Linked DNA regions of Tamandua tetradactyla. The main gene of each other region encodes a partner of the protein of the gene in region 2 in a complex. Links are inferred from orthologs where the notes say so. Each region holds a gene or a part of one and is shown on either strand. Other genes may lie near its edges.

Region 1 (8,138 bases), on a different chromosome or scaffold from region 2:
AACTAGTCCAAGGCAACACAGCCAGAGAAGTATTCCAGCCTGGCAACCTCAGAGTGCGGTCTGCAGAAGCAGCAGTAGAGAGCAGCAGCAACTTGCTGGAAATGCAGACACTCAGGCCTCACTCTGAACCTGCTCACAGTCTGCAAGTTAACAAGCTCCCTGGGCTGCTCAGCGCACACTGATGTTAGAAAAGCACTGTATTACAAAAGAGACCTGCCCCCTCCCAGCCCTAAGCCTCTTCCACTAGCTAAGATGTTTTAGTTTCCACAACTTGTTTTTGTGTATCTTCCACAGTACTACGGGAGGGAGGAGGGCAGTGTAGACTGTCATTGGAGTGATTTTCTAAAAACATAAGTCTTACCACATCTTCCTTCAGCACCTTCCAGCATGCCTAGGATTCAGCCTCAGGCCTACCAGCCTACCTTGTCTCCGGGCCAGTGGGAGCTCAGCTGTTGCTTCCCCTGGACTGTTTCTATTCCTTCTGCCTGGAGGGATCTTCCTCTTAGTCCTGGCTTGTGACGGATCTTTCTACTTCAGTAGCCAGAGAGACTCTGTCTTTCTCATGCCATTCTCCATGCATTTATCTCTATAAAAGGGCAGTAAGGACTGTAGACTCTACGTCACACCACATCAGTTCAAAACTTACTGCCCAGGGCTGCTGGGGGGCATTAAGGAGAGACACACTCAGCATGTGCTCGGTCGTTGTAGCTGTCTTTACCCACTATTATAGAGATAAATGCATGAAGAATGGCATGAGGAAGACAGAGTCGCTCTGGCTACTGAAGTAGAAAGATCCGTCACAAGCCAGGACTAACAGGAAAATCCCTCCAGGCAGAAGGAATAGTAACAATCCAGGGGAAGGGAACAGCCGAGCTCCCACTGGCCAGGAGGCAAGGTCGGCCTGGTAGGCCTGAGGCTGAATCCTAGGCATCCTGGAAGGTGCTGAAGAGCGAGATGGTAAGACTTATGTTTTTAGAAGATCACTCCAATGACAGCCCGTGGAATGGGCTGCAGGGGACCTGAATAAAGCAGGGGACCAGTTAGGTGGCTCCAGAGGTGGTAATGGCAACAGCTGGCAAGAGCCTGGATTAAGGTCAGCAGTCGTTAGATTTGGCACAGGCTCTGAAGACTGGATTGGTGAGGAAGTGGACAGAAAAGGATCTGAGGATGGCTCCTGGGTTTTTAGCCTGAATGAGGAGGTGAGATATGGGTCAGGTCCATTTGCCATGTCTGAGATAAGCAGATGAGGACATCACAGAAGGCTGGGTCTTAGAGAAGAGCTCAGACCAAATGATTAAAATAATTTAGGCTACTTAGAGGCAGGGATTATAATCTTCCCTTTCTTTCAGAGTCCTGCACCACTGCAGAACCAGCACAAGGAAGACCTTCAGTAGACATCAATAAGCAACATTTAACAATATAGCGAGACTGAGGTTTTAGGAGAGCGGTGATCACAAAGCTGGCCAGTGGGTAAGAATCTGTGGAACAGTGTCTGCTCGAAGGAGTCGGGAGAAGAAGAGAGGTGCCAGGTTTTGGGGATTGGGGAATGGTCCCAGAGAATGATTCACTTTACAAAAAAGGAAATAAAACAAGTATAGGTTTTAGAACAGGGCCAGTGTGGAATGTCTTCTCTCAGTAAACCAGGGAGGAGGGGAAGTGCAGCCGGAGAAGCGGGGGGCCACAACAGACCAGGGGAGGGGACCAGAAAGATTAGGGAGCTAGGGTTATGTCTCATGGCACCTACTTCTTGTAAAGAACTGAAGATGGCCACAGATCCTTGGTGGTTACAGATGAGAATACAGCTAGATTTTTCCTTTCTAATACGAATGAAAGCTTCCTCTTCTGGAGTGGAAAGAGCTCCTTAAGGATAACTGAAAGAAGAACCACATTTCTCTCTTTCAAGGAACCCACAGCACTATCTTGTAAGTATAAATGAATCTAGTCCAGCTCCCACCTTTCCCTTTCACCAACAGTTTTGACAAAAATCTTCTGATAAACAGGGCAAAAACTCAGGACTCCTGCCTGTTCCATCATCCTCTATTCATTATTTACCGACCACTCTCAGCATTGCTCCAGCCCCCAAAGAACTTGTGCATTGGCAGGGAACAAGGCACACACAGACAACCACAGAAAGCACACAGAGCCACGAACACAGATTAAGTGCACGAGAGACAGTGAGACAAGCCTCAGGGCATGTGTGAAATTTGCCTGGCCTTCTCCACCACTGTTCTCCAGGCAGAACCCCCTCCTTCTTCAGTGCTCCTATCATGCTGTCAGGACTGCCTGTCTCCAGGAACTCCCCAGGTCTGGCCCCTTGTTTGCACTCAGTATAGATATGGGGAAGGTATCCCGAAAGATCACGAAAATGAGCTCTGCTGTCAGAAAGCTAGAGTTCAAATCTCCAGTTTGCCTCTTCCTGGCTGTGTGACCTTGGCCACGTTGCTCAGCTTCTCTCAGCATCAGTTTCCCCACCTGTAAAGTGGGGTGTTCACTGAGCCTAGGGCCATGGGCCGCCTGGGGAGAGCACTACACGAGCAAGGCAAGGGCTGGGAGGTAGTCTATTGGGCGAGAAGGGGAGCAGCCAGCAGTGTCCAGACGCGCAGAGCCCATCCTACAGGAGAGGACACTAGCTCTCCATCACCTGCCAGTGCCCGCGCTCAGCCTGGGAGTCAGGGGCGCCCCAGAGCCAGGGAGCCTCAGTTTCCCGTCCCGCCCGCCGCTCACCCAGTTTCCGAAGCCGAACTGCTCGATGGCATCCAGCAGCAGCTGCTCCTCGCGGCTGGTCCAGCCGCCCTCGGCCTCGGGCCCCCAGAGCGTGAAGCGCCCGCCGTCCACCAGCTGGTAGCCGTGGTAGCGGCGGTGGTGGCCGATCTCGGCGCCGGCCGAGAAGCACTCGGGGCACAGCTCGATGTCCTGGCACTCGGTGCAGCGGAAGCGCAGCGGGCTCACCTCGGCCAGGCAGTACACGCAGTACTTCTTACCGAGCTCCGCCATCTTCCCCCGCTCGCCGCCCGCCGCCGCCGTCGCCGCCGCTGCCCGGCCCGACGCCGCTGAGGCGGAGCCCGGCGTCAGCGCCCCGCCGCCGCCCCCAGCGCCCGCCGCCACCACGCACGAACAACCGCCGCCGCCGCCGCCACCGGCCGCCGCCACCGCGGCCGTCCCCGCCCAGGCGCCGCCGGAGCCAGCCAGCCGGGCCCCGACCTGCCTCAGCACGCAGGCGCCATCCGGCCCGGCCTGGGCGCCGCCGCCGCCGCCGCCGCCGTCGCTCCGCCGCATCGCGCAGGCGCCCCGCGCGGAGGCCCGCCTCGCGCCTCCGCGCCTGCGCGGCCCACTAGACTCTCGCGCAGGCCACAGCCGCCCACGCCGGCGTTTCCCCGACGCCCCGCCCCAGGGTGGGAGGTGAGAAACGGGCGGCAGGGAGGCCTGCGCGGCGAGCCACGCCCCCCGGGGCGCGAGCCCACACCCTCTTCCAATCAGTTCCGATCCTTGTTCGTTTGCGGCCTCCCATTGGCCTTCTCTAAGAGGGAGGCGGGGAGCGGGGGCGGGGCGTCGGGCTCACTCCCGGCCAATCGTCGGGTCCAGCGTCCACGCGCGCGGTTGCCCCTGGAAACCTAATAGTCTGCAGCCGGGATCCGCGGCTCTCACTGAGCGGTTGGGAGATGCAGGACCGCTCTGTGATCAACAGGGACGCCGTGGGAGAAGACGGAGATGTGGAAAGCCTGGCCTCGCGGCTGCCGGGCTTCCACTCCAGCACTAGCCTCCAGACCCCAGCGGAGCCCGCGGAGCCGCAGCCCGAGGTTGCGGCCGTAGAGGCGTCGGAGATGGGCGCCGCGGCTGAACAGGACGAGCCCGGGGAGGGGCCGGTGGCTCCCGAGGCTGCGGCTGCTGTGGGGCCCGAGGAGCCGGCGGAGTCCGAGGCCGAGCCAGGGGAACCGGCCGAAACCGGGACTGAGGTGCAGCCCTCTGAGGAGCTCCCCAAGACGGGATCTGAAGTTGGGCCGGAGGAGTTGAAGGACGAGGTGGGGAAGAGGGAGGAGGGGGCGGAGGAAGAGGAAGGAGAGGAGGAAGAGGAGCACGGGGCGAGGAAAAAAGAAGACCCGCTTCTGTCCAGGGTCATCTGGGGAGAGGTCGCGCCAGTCCGGGAGGCTGAGAAAGAAAAACAGGAGGAGGAAGCGAAGGAGGAGGAGGAGGACGAGGAGGAGGAGGACGAGGAGGAGGAGGATGGAAAGGTGGAGGAACAGAGTGAGGACGCTGAAGGAAGGGGTGGGGAAAAAAGCCAGGTGAAATTTGAGGGCGAAGGCAAAAGTCTGGACCTAACCATCGAGGATGAGGACGAAGATGAGGACAAGGAGCGGAGCTGGTCTGAGGAGGTGCAGAAGGAGCAGGAGCAGCAGCTGCGCACCGAGCTCCTGGAGCAGTACCGCACCCTCCTGACTGAGCGCGGCCGCTACCAGCGCTACAACCTGTACCTGCAGCATAAGATTTACGAAGCACTGCGCAAGAAGAAGGGCCTGGATGCGGCTGAAGTGCCTGACAAGGGCCTGGAGCCAGAGGCCCCGGAGAAAGAGCAGCAGTACCTGCGCTATCTGGCCATGCTGGAGGAGCTGAGGAAGCAAGAGGCAGACGACCTGGACTGGTACCACCAGGAGCTGGACCAGCTGAAGCAGCACTGCCAGCAAAAGCTTGCCAGGGTGGAGAAGGAGTGGCGAGCCTTCCAAGCCCTCAAGAAGCAGGTGGTGATGCAGGCCATGGGCAGCTGTCGGATGCAGGGTGGCCGTCAGGTGGCTCTGCGGGAGGTGGAGCAAATCCAGGCCTTGGAGGATAAGAAGGAGAAGGAGATGAGTGCTGTGAGGCTGGAGAACGTGCAGCTGAAGCAAAGCCTGGTGCACTTTGAAACCAGGATGCGGGCCCAGGAAGACCTGACGGAGGGTCTGCTCCTAATCGATTTCGAGCAGCTTAAGATCGAGAACCAAACGTTCAATGAGAAAGTTGAGGAGCGGAATGAGGAACTCCTAAAACTGCGCAGCAAGGTCACCAACAATGTGCAGGTAATAACCCACGTGAAGGAAAAGTTACACTTTATGGAGATCGAGAACACGTACAAAAAGGCCCAGCTCGCAGAAATCGAGGCCAAGGTGGCCCTAAAGCGGGACATCCTGACCAAGACGAAGCAAGCCCGAGACAGACTGCGGATTGACAATGTCAAGCTGAATCAGAAGTGCGGGCTTCTTGGCAAAGAAACACTTCTCCGGGACTTGGAAGAAAAGGTGGACAAGACTGACCTGCTCAACCAGCGCTTAGAGTCCCTGAAGCACCATCACGCTGGCCTGGCTCTGTCCTGCAGAGGTGTGAAGCAGAAGATCAGGGAAGCCAAGGCCTTTCTCCCCTCTTGACAATGGTGAATAAGGAGAGCCGGTAGAACTTTTTTCCATCTCAACCAACTTTATCCTTCACTAACTCTCACTCTCCATTTGCTGCCATTCTGCCAAAGGCTGATGACATTCAGAATGGAATGATATTTTGTATGTATACTGATTTTTCAGCTTCCAAATCAGTGTTGAATGCAAAATTGGGTTTGCACTCAGTTGCAGATGGGGTTCACCAAAATAAGTCCAGAGAAATCATCCAGGGATGACTTAATGGGCCTGACGTCTCCTAAAAAGGTAACAGAAGACCTTTATACCTGAGCAATTCTGCCATTTGAAGGACTTCATACTAAGGAGTACTGTCCCTCTTTCACATGGAGGAGTGCTAGGCTATGGAAAAATTCCCGCACGTGAAGCCAACTATTAAATTGCCTTTGAATGTGTAGTCTTGGGTCAGTTGTCTCAATTAAAAGTTCACCAATTCGATGCAAAGGTTCTAAGAAATGATCATGATGAATATACAACTATGTGATGATATTGTGAGTTGATTATCAAAAATGGAATGATCATATGGTAAGAATGTTTGTGTTTGTATGTTATGTTGAATAAAAAATTTTTTTTAACTTCACCAATTAGACTATTCCCCAAATGACTTAAATTGATTTGTTAGTAACTAGCACTAGTTTCTGGAATATTTTAAAAAATCCACAAAATAGAAGAATTGATAAAACTAGGAAAAGGAGCTAAAGTTCCTTCGTCTCTTTTTCAGGGAAAGGAGGCTCAGTCGTGGTTTGTTTCACGCTCAGTGATAGATTTCAGTTCTCTCCCGGCTGTTTCTGGGATCGTCTAAAAGAATGCACTGCTCTGTACAGAAAAGTGAAATTCTTTTTTCCAGTAAAAACAAAATAATGACTGCATTGGGTATTTGCCAGGTGAGAAGTATATGGAACAGTTATTGCTGAATGTCCATAAGCCTCTTTTTAAAAAACAAGTTATTTTTGGATCTTGCCAACAGGGCCCTGCACACGTAATGTCACTATCAAATATTAAAATATTAAATACTAAATACACGATAGGTCTGTTTGCTTAACAACCTGGAGCAGTGACCAACATTTTCAGTTTTCTTTGATGCTTTTGGAGCTAGGGACTTGCTTTCACTTCCTCTCAATTATGAGTTTCATCTTGAAATGTTCAGACTTGGGATTAAGAGATTCTTTTAGTCCTTAACTTAACTGGACCCTAAGAAGGATGATCTCTTTTTTTGGTGCTAGATACCCTAAGAATGGTAGAAACCCCACTCTGGGCAGACACCTCACCTGGTCCCAAGAGTGTTCAAAAACTTTGGGGTAGAACATTCCAGTAACTTCAGGCAACTTCATCTCCTTTTCTAAAATGGTGCCCTTTGAAGTCAGTGAAGGTAGATTAAAAGTTCTTCAATGTCCACAGCTTGAATACACTTACTTGATAACACCAGACTTAATCAAGCCACAATTCTAATAATGAGGAAAATGTGTTAACTTTCTGCTTCCATTCTACTCTTCTACAGATTTTTTTTTCTTCCCCTACCTCCTTCATCAAGGCCAAAGAGAAAGTAGTAATTAAACACTGACAAACGGAACTTTGTTTTCTTTATGCCGCAAACGAAAAGCAGTACTAGCCCACTGGAGGCTTCCAAGTGAAGTGGCAGAGATGCAAATGGCTTTCATTATAATATTGGGACCTGGGACAAAACACTTCAACTAAGCTTCAAACTACTTGTTTGTAAAGTGGGGATAAATTTGTATGAGAAGGGGATGCAAAGATAGTTCAATGGCACCATGCAGGAGACCCAGGTTCTATTTCTGGTCCATGCACTTCCAAAAAAACAAAAGCAACCAAAAAATGGTGCTGCAATACTGGGATACTCACATGGAAAAATAATGAAATGTGACCCTGCCATACTGCATACAAAAAATTTTTTGCATGAGAAAAATTTCGGAATGAAATGTAAACAGCAGCTCTTCTCTCTGGGTGGTGGAATTATGAGTAATTTTTATTTTCTACTTCTTGCTTTTCTGTATTTCCAAATTTTCTTCACTGAACATGTATTTAGGAGGCGAAATTCCTTTTTTTTTTTCCTAATTCATGAAATTCACCAAAAGTGCCAGGTACTAAAAGTTTAATGAGAAGGCTATGAGTTTCATTAGCTATGATAAAGCTTTTTATTTTTGTTTTTTTAATGATACAATTAGTTCAATATCTTATTTTGTTTAATCCTCAAAAGCTCAGGACCCTTTTTGAACTTTGGTTACAGAAAAGGTAAATGAGGCTTAGAAAATTTAAGCAAATTCTTTAAGATCCCAGAGCTCTTAAACAGCAATGGTTGGCTTCAAGACTTAACTCCAGAACTCGTTCTTAAACACCTGATAAACTACACCTTAATCTTGGGTTTATTTTTGTTTGGCGCTCTGGAGCAGGAGCAAGAAGCTAAAGGAGCAATGTGTAAGAAAACATCTGAGACTCTGGGATCAAGAGCAATGCTTCTAAAATCTGGGATCACTCGTTTTGCTGTGCTGCTTGGGAAAAATTCTGGTCAGTGCCCCTCCTTCCCCATAGGGAACCCAGCCCTTCTCAGGCACCCTGGGGAAGAGGGCTTTGGCAGGTAGCCCTGGGAGACAGGGTCTCAACATGACTGTGCCCAGTGAAGCAGCCCTACACCAGAGCAAGCCGGCTACAGGGGTGGCAGTGGATGGTACCCACAAAGAGGCCTGAGCAGAATAAGCCAGAGGCATG
Region 2 (7,064 bases):
CCTACCCAATCTTCAGATCTTCCCTTAAAGCATCACTTCCTCTGGGAACCTTCTCTGATTTCTCCAACTAGATCAAACCCATATTTTAGGCACTCATAGCACCAAGTACTTCTCCTTCACAATATACTTTGTGAGTTGCAATCTTATACATAACATATATTCATATATTTGTGTTACAGATATGTACACATACATATATATACACACACAAGTTATATATTTACATAAAATATATACCAAAATCCACATACTTCTCAAAGAATGATTTTGCTTCATTCTCATGTTGATTGTAGACTAGTTCCAAATACATGTGTACAAACAGAGGATAAAAGAGTTGGGATAACTCTGCCCGATGGCAGTCCAAGGAACATTCAATAAAGTGTTTCAGTCCACTATAGTATTCTTCATACATTGCAGGGTCTCCTTGTTGGTTGTAAGCTGACAGCACAGCACTGACATCCGGCTGGTCTTCCACAGCTACACTTGCAACTGTTCAAAAATCAAAAACCAACTTTCAAGAAAATGACCAGATGAACACATGTGACTATGGCTGTTTTTCTAAGCCCCAGAGTTATCCGGTTCTTAGATATGTTTGTCTCTCTCTTCTCAACCTTTCTTTACCAACACAATTATAGTCTTTTAATGGGATATTTCACTTCATTTCATTCACCCAGGACAAAACCTCATGCTTAGCTTGTCCATATCTTAAAGTAATATGTTGAAATCAATAACAAAAAATTTTTTAATGTTTTCTTGGAGCTACTTCATTGTAAATTTGAATTTTGTAGAAGATGATATGTGTATATCGAAGAACGATATTAATCTTCTCTAAAGACTCAGTGCAAATGGCACCTATCCTCCCCACCACCACCACCACTTCAGAAGCCATGCCCTGAAGTAACATTTCCAGCTCTCTGAGTACTCTGAACTTTCCTATAACATATTCTATTTCATGTTACCCTCACATGTGTACAACTATTGACTCTTCTAAAATGTTAAGCATTTTAAGAGAGGAAACTTATTTATATCTCAAACAATAATTAACTCTATTTTATATGCTTAAAGCAAATTTCCATAATCACCATTTCGGGGCAGAAAACATGATTTAAAGCACACTATTTATAACAGCAATACCAAAAATGATACATCTGTCAACTGAATCATAGCTTTTGGTTGTTGGAAATGTTTAAGTTTTTAAGTAGACTCTTTACTGCATGAATGTTATTTTTTTGTTACTCTAATGGCCTCTGAGTTTCCAACTATGATCTAAAAATACATCAGATTTCCAGATGAGTGATTACAGTAAGAAAACCAACAACATACTATCTTATAATTTATTCACAAAATTCTTAATTCACTATTCAGAAAAGATTTCTCTTCACATTTTCACCCATATCTATTTATGAGTCACACTGTTATGTATTCATACTTCACTTCTGGCAATATTGCAAAGATTAGGTCTCATAAATTATCGATTAATAAGGCTAGAAGCTCGTAACAGGATAATTTAATTCAATAAACACTTCTTGTCAGCTCATAATTACCTCTGAGACTTTATATTATGTACGAGTTTTCTACTGCATGGTCTTTGTGACAACAGTTGTTGGGAGAAGGGGGGGTATCAGACGTGAGGGATGGCTAGTAAGGTATAAGCCTATCAATGCCATCCTTTCACATATATCTGATGCTCATAATAACTCATTTAAAAGAGAGAAAAGTTATTCTTAGGAAGAATAACTTAATCAGCACCATACAAGTAAAAGCAGCAGAGACATGATCTGAAGCCAGGTCTGTTCCATCCCTATTTCTAAACTAATGGTTCGCAAACCTTGCCATATATCAATATCCCTTGGAAGCACTTACTTAAAATGCAGATTCCCAGACTCCACCTCTAGAAGTGTGATTCACTATGTCTAAGTGGTGATCAGGAATCTGCATCTGCAAACATTTCAACACTGGGGGTACTTAGCCTTACTCTTAAAAAACAATGCCTACACTATATTCCACCACTCCTTGGCTGTGTGGTTCAAAACTAGTCTTTTGATCTTTCTCAATCTGTTTTCTCATCTCTAAAACAGAAGTAGTATCTACCTCCCGGTAGAACTGTGAGAAGTAAGTTAAAGTCCTTCGTCCGCTAATACGGTACTGTACAAAGACTTAGTGTTCATGTAGACCTACCCAAGGCTTAGGAGCCCAAATGAGAGGACAGAGACCAAAAGCCTGAAGGACCCCGCCACTTCGAGTCCACCTTCCCCATACATCCCTCAGCTCAACAGCTCTCTTCAGCCTCTAGCTGGAAATGACAGTTCGGAAGAGGGTTTGACTGCGCAGCCGGCGCACCAGAGAAAGGGGCGGGCATGTGGCCCTAGAGGCGGGCTCAGGAAATTCAAAACAAGCCCGCATAGCTGCAGGCCTGCCAGCCCCTGCGTTCCCGGCTAGCTCCCCTTCGTGCTGGCCCTGCTTCCCCCGGACTCCGCAACTCACCTTTTCCCGGAGCCGCAGAACCTGAGGCTGAGCCTGAAACTGCGGCGGCCCCCGAAGCTCCGGTGCCGGGGGGGTCCGGAGCCGTCGGACCGGGAGCCGAGGCAGTGACCCGGCTGAGAAGTGCACTTGCCACCTCGGCCCCGGCGCCGTCCACCTCTCCTGGGGCTCCGGAGCCCATCACTGCCTCCTCTAAGAGCCGGGCCTCGCGGCGCAGCGCTTCTTCGGCCTCGCGGAGGTTGCTCTGCCGTAGGAACTGCAGCACTGCCAGCAGAGTCTGTCGGTCATGGGGAGCGCCGGCCTCCGGAGCAGCGGCGGGCACCGGGGCCGCCCCCGCCGGTGTAGCGGCGGAGACAGCCACTGCGGGCTTGGGGGTCCCGCCATCCCCGCCGGCCGACGACGCGGCCGCAACGTTCCCGCCGCCGCCGTTGGGGCCGTTGTTGGTGGTGCCGCCGCCCCCCTCGCCAGCGCCGTTCCCAGCCTGCGGAGGTAGCAGCGTTGGCGGTCCCTCAGGCTCTAGCTTGACCGCCACCTCCGTCTGCTCCTCCGCCAGCGCCGCCATCTTGCGGCTGAGCCACCCCGCGCCGTCAAGCGTGATTGCGTTTTCGCCACATGGAGGAGGGGGAGGAGCATTTCACGACAGCTCTGGATGACAATTTACGGCAGTAGGAGGAGCGAGAAAGAGGGAGAAAAGGAGTGGGAAAAAGCAATTTTCCAAAGCGAAGGAAAGGCAGGAAGCGTGCTTTGGTGGCCGCCTATTAATTTGTCTGATAATAGTTACTGTTTATTTTAGGCCAGCTATATCCAAGCATTTTATGGACTTTCTCTATTATATGAACTCCTTTAATTCACCAGGCATATGAGGTATTATTAGACCCACTTTATAAATGGTTCAACAGAGACCCAAAGAGGTTAAATGACTTGCCAGGGTCATAGAAGAAGTAGTGAAAGTTGCAGTGTTCGAATCCAGGTCTTTAACTCAAAAGCATATGCCAAAATGTTCAAAATGGAGGCATGGAAACTCTGTATTTTTCTGAATGGTCTTTCTGTAAACCTACAACTTCCCAAATGGAACTTATATTTTCAAAAAAAGCATATGCCATTTGCCAAAGGGAAGCTTCCGAGATACGGGTGACATTTTTATTTTAATGTGGGTGGCGGCTACTTTTGTGTGTGTGTGCAGTTTTTACTTTTGCAAAAGTTTTACCCCATTGTGAATAACAGATTAACGTTCTGATGTATACATTAGTGTCACGGCTCAGGCCCTAAATAGCTGTATAGCTGAAGCCCAGAAACTGAGGAGTCCTGAAAAAGCACTGCAACCCTCTGCACACACCCCACCCCCATGAGGTCAGCCTCTTACTTGACTCATCTCTGAGCTTTGAAAAGGTCTGTGTTGGAAGTTCAGCCCAGGTTGCTTACTCCAAGTGTAGTGTTTTTTCTGTTACACCACAATTGAGATAATTTTATTGAATGTCTGCAAGACTCACTTCCTACTACCATTCTCCTCCTACTCTGTTCGTAGGATACTTGGATAAGTCTGGTATCAATCAGCATCTTGCTCCTTTGTAGGAGAGCTGCTTTTTTGATCTTTCTCTTTCGCTTTGGTGTTCTTTAGCTTTATTCTCATGTGTCTAGGATTGGATTTTTCATCTCTATCTTGACTGACTCTTTTCACATCCTTTCAATCTGAGGTCTTTTTTTTTTTTCAATTCTGGAAAATTAGTAAGCATTTTATCATAAATATCTCCTCTTCTCTATTTACTTTTCCCCTTCTAGTATTCTTATTAGGTAGATAATGTTACATCTGTTTCTATCCTATAGGTCTTTTAACTTCCATATTTTCATCTTTATCTCTTCTGGACAATTGATAGGAGAGTTCCTCTGCCTGATTTTTCATTGCAATAATTCATTCTCAGTTTGCATCCATTTTGCTACATAACCCATTTGTTGAATTATTTCAACCATTATGTTTTTCTGGTATTTTGAATTGTTTCTTTTTTATGGTTTATTGTTCCTGCTTCATGATACCAATGAATGCATTTCACAATGTCTGGAGATATTCTGATTGTCACAACTACTGGCATCTAGTGGGTAGATGCTAAGGATGCTACTAAACATACCACAATGTACAAGACAGTCCCTGTACCAATTTGAAACTATTGTGTATGCCAAGAAAAGCCATGTTCTTTAATCCTCATTCAGTATTGCTGGGTGGAATTTTTTTTATTATTTCCTTGGAGATGTGATCCACCCAATTGTGGTGGCACCTTTTGATTAGGTGGTTTCCATGGAGATGCATCTCTACTGATTGAAGGTAGGTTTGCTTCCTAGAACCCTTTAAGAGGGAAACATTTTGGAAAAAGCTTTAGTGCTGACAGAGCCCACACAGCCAGAGACCTTTGAAGATGCAGAAGGAAAACACCCTCAGGGAATCCTTATGAAATGAGAAGCCAGGACTGAAAGCTAGCAGATGTCGTGCCATGTGCCTTCCCAGCTGACAGAGGTGCCCAGAAGCCAGAGACCCCAGCATACGCCAGTCAGTGGCCTTCCCAGCTGACAGAGGTGTTCCAGACCCATCGATCTTTCTTGAACCAAAGTATCTTTCTCTGCATGCCATGGTTTGAACATGTTTATTGCCTTAGAATTCTACACATCCAACTTGGTAAATTCCCTTTTTAAAAGCCATTCCATTTCTGGTATATTGCATTCCGGCAGCTTTAACAAACTAGTACAGCCCCCCACGACAAAGAGTTATTTGACCAGAAATGTCAGTGCTGAGGTTGTGAAACTCTGGTACAATCAACATGAACCCTTTTCTCTTTGAGGATATGTGTTAAACTTAAATTCTTTTTCTACCTGAGGCTGGGGCATTTATTCTGATTCACCAAGTCTAGGTTGTTCAATTTCTTGCTCTAATGGGGTTGTACTCCTACATCTCCTTATTTTTCTCCATGAATTCATTTTTCCTTGGAAGTACCAGTTACCTTGACTGCTATGTATAAGCAGAAGGAAAGACTGACGGCCAGCATTGGGAAAAGGTGGCGGGTGTACCACAAGATGAAAAGTTTCCAGTCTTACTGTCTGGGCTCGATCACTACTTGTTTGCCAGCAGAAGCATAAGTGCAAGAGCACATGCAGGCACGTGCACACACACACACACACACACACACACACACACACACAAATATTTCAGGTGTCTTTGACCCCAGAAAACTTTCCTATAGTCAATTGCTATAGTACAATTCCTATACTCAATCTCTACCCTAGACTTGGCTCTTTCCTAAAAGCTATCTAGTCTCACCTATTCTTCAAAGTATGGGGTCGGGGAGGGTATAGAGCCAATGGATCTGACTGCCCTGTTGTCATCCTCACACAAACACCCTTGACTCCTTCGGTCCCCACTGCCATTTTTCTTTTTTTTTTTTTTTTTATTTTTTAAATACCAAAAACACCAAACAAACGCAAACATTCCTATTTTGATCATTCCGTTCTATATATATAATCAGTAATTCACAATATCATCACATAGTTGCATATTCATCATCATGATCATTTCTTGGAACATTTACTGCCATCTTTCTTGATTGGTGCTGCTCTAATGTAACCCCACAGTCTCTGGCATCTCTAGGATGGTGTGGTGGTTTTACTTATTTTCAGTGGAGATGGATGGTGAGGATGAGGTAGTGGACGGGTGGTGATCCAGGGTGAGATGGGGACGAGAAAAGCACACAAATTAAAAACTTTTCCCCAGATCAATTCCTGTGTGTAGCTCCCTGATATCTTCCTCTTGGAACTGCTATTTCACACATACACACACATTCAGACATACACACAGGGAGCCTCAGGTTTCCTACAGTTTTTATAGATCTATCGATTTCTATACCATCTCTATGGTTGAGGGGGAGGGAGATAGCCCCCAGTGTGAGTTAACCATCTGTTTAGTTTGACCGAGTTGTTTTTTAAATATTTTTATTGACAAATCTTCACACACATACATTCTATTCATGGTGTACAATCAGTGGTTCACAATATCATCACATAGTTGTGTATTCATCACCATGATCATTTTTTAGAACATTTGCATCACTCCAGAAAAAGAAATAAAAAAAAAAAACTCATTCATCCTATGCTCCTTACCCCTCCCTGTCATTGACTACTAGTATTTCCATCTACCCAATTAATTTTACACTTTGTCCCCCATTATTATTATTATTATTATTATATTATTTTATTTTATTATTATTATTATTTTTGGCATGGGCAGGCACCGGGAATCAAACCCGGGTCTCCAGCATAGCAGATGAGAATTCTGCCACTGAGCCATCATCGCACCGCCCCCCCCCATTATTTTTTTAATCTATATATTTTTTACTCATCTGTCCGTATCCTAGATTAAAGGAGCAACTGACACAAGGTTTTCACTATCCCACAGTCACATTGTAAAAGTTATATCTTTATATAAATGTCTTCAAGAATCAAGGCTACCGGAACACAGTTTTACAGTTTCGGGTACTCCCCTTCAGCCACTCCAATATACCATAAACTACAAAGGTATATCTATATAATGCATGGGAATAACC
Region 3 (7,032 bases), on a different chromosome or scaffold from region 2:
TTTATATCTAAAAGTTATTATTTCGTATGTTTTGATGCAACTTAGTGTTCCGAAAGAAGGCTGTTTCCATCTATTCTAATATGGACTCCGTGATCTCTTAAGTTTCTTCCAGCTCTAAGACTTAAGATTCTATCTCTAGATATGGAACCCAATGGTCATGATCACTTAGATTCTGGTCCCTTGACTGATGCTTGGCTAGGAAACACTGCTAAACTCTGAGGGTGACCCAACTGATGGGTTTAGTGTTTTTATGTTCAAGAGACTCCTGGACATTGGTACCCAGGTCATGCCTCAAGAAGGTAAGAACATGATTAAACAAATAACTCCCTTCAAGTTTCCCTTTAACGGATCCAATCGCATCTGCCACCTATAGAAACAGAAGTTATGTTCACGGAACCTCTGAGAGGAATCGTATTGCAGTGAAAGGCATACTAATCAATAGTGGAGAACCCTTGGTTCTAGTATTGGCTCTTGCACTAAGTCTCATCAGATCTCAATTTCCTCACCAGGAAAACCAAGAAGCTATTTAAAATTTCCTTAGAAGTAGCTTAATCTCAAAGGGTAGTGATTTAAAATATTAACCTAGTTCTTTAGGCCTTTGAAACCGAACCAGTACTAACTTTTTCCCTCCACAATTGCAAATCTAGACGAGTCGTTGTGTATTCAAGTTCTCGTAGCTTGAGAGGAACCAACCAGGAAGCTTGCGAACAGTCAGCAACCCAATCTCGGGCTACTGCTCCAGCCCCATCAACACATGTCTCCTTACCTCGCCATCCTCCGTTCCGGCTTCTTTCAAGTCCCCATCTCCGTCCCCGTCAGTTTCCTCCCGGATTATATCTGTGTCGGTGGCGCCGGAGCACAAGGGAACCGCAGGCGTCTCATCCGACTCCCTTGTCTCTCCACTTTTGTCTGTGGGCGACTCGCAGGCATTTTCCATTACTATGAAACTAGATCGCGGCGCTGTCAGACCACGGCTGGGAACCCGCGCAGCACTGCAGCCCACAAGCTTACTTCCCGTTGTCGCGCCAAGATGACATCACCTCTACAGCTCCTCGAAGGGGACATTTTCAGGGGCGCGTAGACGTCTCTGAGCTTTCGTTTTTACGCTTCCATTTGGGGGTGATGGTTAGGAAAGGAAAAATTAGGGGTGCGGATTGTCTACCTTGGGAGAGCCAGCATTTGTGAAGGACTTCTTTTTCCTTTCTTCCTTTCTAAAAATGCAATGTCAGGCAACGCCTTTCCTAATCCGCCTCCCTTGGAGGAAAGAAGTTGGGGTACAGGGAAGAAAACTCAGTTCCGTTGTATGCCCGCGTCGTTGTATGCGGCTGCCTTCGTCTGATGAACTTTCAGGCAGCAACTCAACTTCGTACGTTTCAATTAAAGAGACCTATGTTTACACCGAGTTGCCAGCATTTCCCTTCTTTTCCGCATGTACCTGAAAAACAAACATAAATTCACTGACTTAACTTGAGCAGAACTTATCCAGTCCATTTATTTAGTTTACAATTGGTTCGTCTACTTAGAACCAGTAACGGTGGTAGGTACAAGTGAACTAAATTGGCATGGTTCCTACCCACTGATTTTTTCCAACTCATCAGAATTCAAGATCGGGGTTGCTTTCACAAACGTTAACTTTTTATGTCAGTTTCGTTACTCTCATCAAAAGAGGAAACAAATGCTACCGATGTGTGCATATATCTCCTTTAACCTTTTGCCCTAATGAGCCATTTCAAGGATTGAGAAGATGAGGTGAGCTATGTTTATTTTTAAATGTTCCTCCCTTCTCTCCTTCGCGCACATTCAGTTATGGGAGGTAGGCATATTTTATTCATCTCTGTATCACTAGGTCTGTATCACTAAGTACTTATGTGCGGTGTAAGAATGAACTTGGAAATGTAGATGCGCGTTACCATACTTCTCTCTTTGTTTCTATGCTGCCTGGATGAATTACCGTATTTCTTTCCAGTGTGCTCCCAAAACTTTTGAGGAAGCAGAGCGCTCCGGAAGGCGCGTACAGGTGGGCCGTTCGTTCCCTTCCACCTGGGGAGGTGGCAGCCACACCGCGATGTCCCCTGGCCCTTCCAAGCCCAGTCTCCGCACAGCGAGGTCCGCTAAATGCCAATCCCAGACACCTGCACCAGTTTTCTGAGCTCCGCCCAGCTAGGTGGGCAAGAGGGCGGGAAGAGGGGCGCGGTGACGCGTGACGCCGAGTCCCGGAAGTGACGCGCGCGTGGGGAAAACGCGGGGTGGGGGCGGGTTTGAGGGGAGTGGTGTCCCCGACCGGTCTGGGGGGTGCGTTGCCCGGAGACAGAAAGTTTGGGAGCCAAAGCGGGTTCGGCAGCGGCCCCGGGGCAGGGGTCCAGAGGGGCGGCGGCTTGGGGATGGGGAAGGAACAAGAGCTGCTGGAGGCGGCGCGCACCGGCCACCTCCCGGCCGTGGAGAAGCTGCTGTCCGGAAAGCGGCTTTCCTCAGGCTTCGGGGGCAGCGGCGGCTCGGGGGGCGGTGGCGGCGGTGGCGGCGGCGGCAGCGGCAGCGGCAGCGGCGGCGGCCTGGGCTCCTCGAGCCACCCCCTCTCTAGTCTGCTCAGGTGGGTACGCGTCCAGGCCCGGCCACCGCCTCGAGATCCCCTCTACCCAGCCTGTCTCCTGGGATCCACAGAGATCCGGGCTCCTGAGACCCGAGCGGTTGGGTTTGTGGGGTGTGCCGGAGCGCGGGCAGGCGGCCTCAAGGGCAGGGAGCAGGAGGGGGCTCGGGTCCCGGTCCGCGCGGTGCGGGGCTCTCCTCATCTCCTGTCCTGACTCGGCTGCGAAGAATGGTGGGAGTGCCCAAGGTGGCAGCCTCCGCCGCATGGCACAGTTCGGCTTCACCCTCGCCCGCTATAGGTTGCCAACTGTCGTGTCTCACAAACCACTTTAAAGAAAAAAAAAAACCTATATATAATCTCCCTCACCTCCTGCAGAAATTCCCACGCCTTGTGAAATCTCGCGACTTCTCGGAGGAAATTCTATTCCTTTCTCTAAGGAACTTGGAGCCTTCCACCAGGCTCTGCGAGACCTGGCTTTCATTGTTTGTGGTAAAATTGTCTCAGTATTTGTCACGTTTAGAGTGTTCTTGTGACTGAAGCTCAAATTCTAGTTCCTTGTACTTAATCTGTTTGGATTAGTCTAAGTGGCATGTGCAGGATTCTTCAGGAGATTTATTCATCACGAAATAATTAGAAAGAGTTGTTCAGGGGTGCTTTTAACTATCCAAGATCTGTTGCTAAAATAAACACTTGGATTTGGAGCTGTAAGGATTGAGGGGGAAATGGTCATTTTTGTGTGTGGAGATGCTTTTTTACTGTGAGTAAAAATTTGTTGGTTCAGCACCGCTTTCATAGCCTGCTTTCTTTTCCTTCCTTGTTCTTTTGAGGTTTTTAAGAAGTGGAAGTTTATTTAGAAATGGCTTTGTTAGCATTTGTTCCCCATTAGTTTATGTAACTTCGATTTGAGTAACCTTGGGCCAAAAAAGCCCAAGGCTTTAATACCTGGTTACATTTAAGGATTGAGTATCCTCTATGCAGGATGATTTATTTAAAACGAAACAAAACAAAACAAGCAGTATAAGAGAAGAACTTTCCCTAGGAGCTTCATTTGGGGAAGCAAAAACGGTACTGTTCATGGCTACCTCTCCAACCTCTAGAACAATGCTGACAAACTGTAGGTACTCAATATTTGTTGAGTAAATAAAATCATCAATTGTAGGACAATACATTTCTAAATGGATTGATGGTGGTACTCTCTGTAATAGTAGTTCAGACAAAAGAACTATTAACTATTTGGGATGAGATGAGGGTCAGGGAAGGCTTCAGGAAGGAGGGGAACTTCAGCTGGCCTTAAAGCAGGTGAAGATTTGGATAGGTGAAGTATGGCAAGAGCATTCCAGATGGACACACCATGATCAGAAGCACAGAAGTGGGAAGTAGACTGATTTGGTGCTAGTGTGGCACTAGGAGGAGGAGGTAGGTGGGATAAATCTTTTATTTGTCTTTCAGTGCCTAGGTCAGTACCTGACAGTGCAGAGGTACTCAATAAACGGTACTTTGAATGCATGAATTGGGTTTTGGATTTTACCTCCTTTACTTTATTACTTTGTAGTTCTCATGCCTGGGAGATGAGGGAAAGACTATACAAGGTTGGGGTTGCATCTACCTCTAATGAATGGAATGATGTAGCATTTGGATGCTTGCCAGCAATACCTTGAATCCCAGCATCTCCTAGTGAAGCCAGAACCTTTCGTATATCTCCCACCTTCAACTGCAGGCCAAGTCACTCTTAGTGCTCTCACTCAGGGGCTGTTGAAATTCTTCTGAGCATATAGGTGCCTTGTAGTTCAGCAAGACTAGGAAATGTCTGTTGAGCAAATGTTTATACTTTGAGCCTCATGATAATGTGTCCAGTCTCTGTGATACAGGGTGGGTGGTATCTCCATTTCACTGAATAAGAGAACTGATTCCTCAAGACTTGCTCCCATGTCTGTTGTTAAGATGGTAAAAGGCCTAAAAGTTGCTGGAGCCTCTCATCCCTGCCGCTCTTAGGGGCAGGGAGGATCTGAAGGTACTAGGTGTGTCATTAATTGTGACTATCTCAGAGGTAGCTGTGATTAAAACTGAAAGATTTCTAAGCAAATGAAAGCGTACATTTAAATAATCCCTAGATTGGCATGTCCTCCCTCTTTAGATTTGGAAATAGAAGAGGTAAGTCCCCTCTACCCTATCCCTCTACCTCAAGGACCCTGAGTTATTAAATCACAGCTGTTGGATCATTGCTTCAGATTTGACCTTTGTTTTAGCCACCATCTACCACCCCAGCAGTACTGCCATCTGTAACCCCACATTTGTCCAGCCGTTTGAGTGACCAAGTAAAGCTGGCAGGCAGGAAATAGGGGCTTCTTATTGCAAATGGTATAAATATTTAAAATCACATCTGTTTTTATGTATGCTAATCACCTCCATTCTACAGAGGCCTTGTGCTACTTTATCTTAAGCTACTAAATGCCTTCGTCTTTCACCCATCCTTTTCTCTTATACTACCTGGTCTTAGATCTTAACTTCCTAAAACCCTTCCTCATGTCTCTAATACATACAAGATCTGCCAAGCTCCTGCTTCTTTAGATCATATCATTTATAGTAGTGCACAGTAGCTCATCAACTCATATGAGTTTAGATTTCCATAAAAGCAACTTCTGTATGAGAATTCAGTAAGATTTGGGTTAAAAGTGAATTCTATCAAAGTTCAGAAAGGTCTAAGAAAAGGGAAATGCTAAAGGAAAACATCAGATCATAGCTTAAAACGATAAATTAAATTCTGAGCTGAATACTGATGTATGTGAGTGGAAAGGTAAAGTGAAACGTACTCCTCAGGCTCAGCAGCATGAAGAAAGTAAACCAAAGGCTGTAGTTGAGGGGGAGATTGTGTCATGCTTTTAGGAAAATTCTATGCTTGATTTCTCAACCATAAGGAAAACGAATAAGAGGAAGCTGAGGAGGCTTGCTGGAGAACTCTGAAGTAGCTATAAGCTACTTTTTACTCTGCCATATGAGCAAAAAATAAGACTGTCCAAAACCAGACACACGTTTCCCCCAAAATATGAAAAGGATCTGAAATAAGTTAAAGAATGAAAATTTTTTAAAAATGAGCTTCACTTTGGGCACAATAACAGGTTCTCCCAAATGTCAGAAGATATGACAATTGTTTTTAAGAAAGTTTAATGAAGAAATTCAGATTTTTTTTGAGAGTGGTTAGTTTAACCTTCTATTGTCAAATGATTTTTTTCATCCCCAGAATGGATTAGTAGCTTGGGGATTATAATGTCAGGGTAGCTTTTTCTCATGCTGACCATTTTACTTTTCTGTGCCAGCTTTCTTTTGCATGTATCTATTTTGTGGGAAATGATTTTAATATTTTAAGGAAGAGTGATAAACTGATCCTAAAAGGATTGTAGAATGGAAGGGCCTAGACACAGTATCTTATAGAATTGTCAGATCTAAGGTTTTCTCTTAAGAGAATGCAAAAAAAAAAAACAGAACGATCCACTTAGGTTAACAGTTTTCTCAATTGTCCTCTAACCTCATTTAATTAAATATAGTTTGTTAAGAACTTCTTAAAATACTCCTAAGTACAATTTTGTTGGGGAGACAGCTGTGTTCATTTTTGCTTTTTTCTAAAGTAGAATTTGGTTCCTCTGTTAAAACGAAACAGAAGTAGCATGCATGGAAATGACTTCTATGTGCTTACTTTTTATCTAAAAATCTGGAATATGCTTAATTTAAACTGACTAGGGCATCTATTTGTAAAAACCTGTATTTATAATAAGTCAGTGGTCTCCCTTTTTCTGAATTTTCTAATTAAAGTTCAGTTTTCACTGTATCTTCTTAGTTACAAAAATTGAAGATAAAAGACAAAGGAACAGTGTTGTGGTCTGAGAAATTTGATTTGTATCCAGTCACTTTCAGCTATATTCACTTGTCACAGGAGAGTATGGTCCTAGTGAAAGATGCATCCTTTGCCAGAAAAATCCCTTCAGAAGGCTTCTTTTCCCCTTTGGTTTGTTCACCCCAAAACAGCTGTGAATTTTGGTTTTGAAAGAGGAAGTCAAGTCTAATTCTGCCCTAGTCTTTTGTAAGGAAAGTAAATTGCTGGGATTTATAGCCCAGACACACCAAGGAAACCCCAAAAGTAGACAGTGAGGAGTTTGTTCTTGGAGACTTCAGGCTCTCCTTTGGTTAGGAGCTTGTCTCTTTACTGGAGAGCCCTCAGAAAATGTTCCCCACTCTGATTTCCAGAAGATTACTGAGATACTTTCTGTGGTATAGAAAATTGTACTGTATAATATATTTCATTCACAGAACAGCTTCAAATAATTTTGGTGTGGTTAGAGTTAATGTTAGTAATACTACAAATTATAAGGTATGGCTTCATATTTATCCTTTCTCAGTAATTTGTAGATCAAGTTAATTTATAAATCTGAAAAAGCCAGTTGTCTCTGCTTTAC

The links. The genes of interacting proteins can lie anywhere in the genome.
Region 1: TAF5 (region 2) and TADA2B share a complex: the UniProt entries of both Homo sapiens proteins name them as parts of the TFTC-HAT complex. The link is inferred for Tamandua tetradactyla from reciprocal best matches to the Homo sapiens genes TAF5 and TADA2B.
Region 3: TAF5 (region 2) and TAF11 share a complex: the UniProt entries of both Homo sapiens proteins name them as parts of the TFIID basal transcription factor complex. The link is inferred for Tamandua tetradactyla from reciprocal best matches to the Homo sapiens genes TAF5 and TAF11.

Annotation. Positions count from the first base shown.
Region 1 is NC_135345.1:5,797,829-5,805,966, forward strand, and holds the start of TADA2B (transcriptional adapter 2-beta), read right to left. Parts: upstream 3,031-8,138; 5' UTR 2,995-3,030; coding exon 2,725-2,994; intron 1-2,724. Other genes in the region: CFAP184 (cilia- and flagella-associated protein 184), read left to right, coding at 3,660-5,393. UniProt on the Homo sapiens protein: Coactivates PAX5-dependent transcription together with either SMARCA4 or GCN5L2.
Region 2 is NC_135339.1:65,359,851-65,366,914, reverse strand, and holds the start of TAF5 (transcription initiation factor TFIID subunit 5), read right to left. Parts: upstream 3,064-7,064; 5' UTR 3,044-3,063; coding exon 2,485-3,043; intron 490-2,484; coding exon 252-489; intron 1-251. UniProt on the Homo sapiens protein: The TFIID basal transcription factor complex plays a major role in the initiation of RNA polymerase II (Pol II)-dependent transcription.
Region 3 is NC_135331.1:91,175,560-91,182,591, forward strand, and holds the start of TAF11 (transcription initiation factor TFIID subunit 11), read right to left. Parts: upstream 3,031-7,032; 5' UTR 2,951-3,030; intron 2,588-2,950; coding exon of another isoform or gene 2,382-2,587; exon of another isoform or gene 2,219-2,381; intron 2,198-2,218; exon of another isoform or gene 1,952-2,197; intron 1,436-1,951; 5' UTR 938-1,435; coding exon 767-937; intron 1-766. Other genes in the region: ANKS1A (ankyrin repeat and SAM domain-containing protein 1A), read left to right, coding at 2,382-2,587. UniProt on the Homo sapiens protein: The TFIID basal transcription factor complex plays a major role in the initiation of RNA polymerase II (Pol II)-dependent transcription.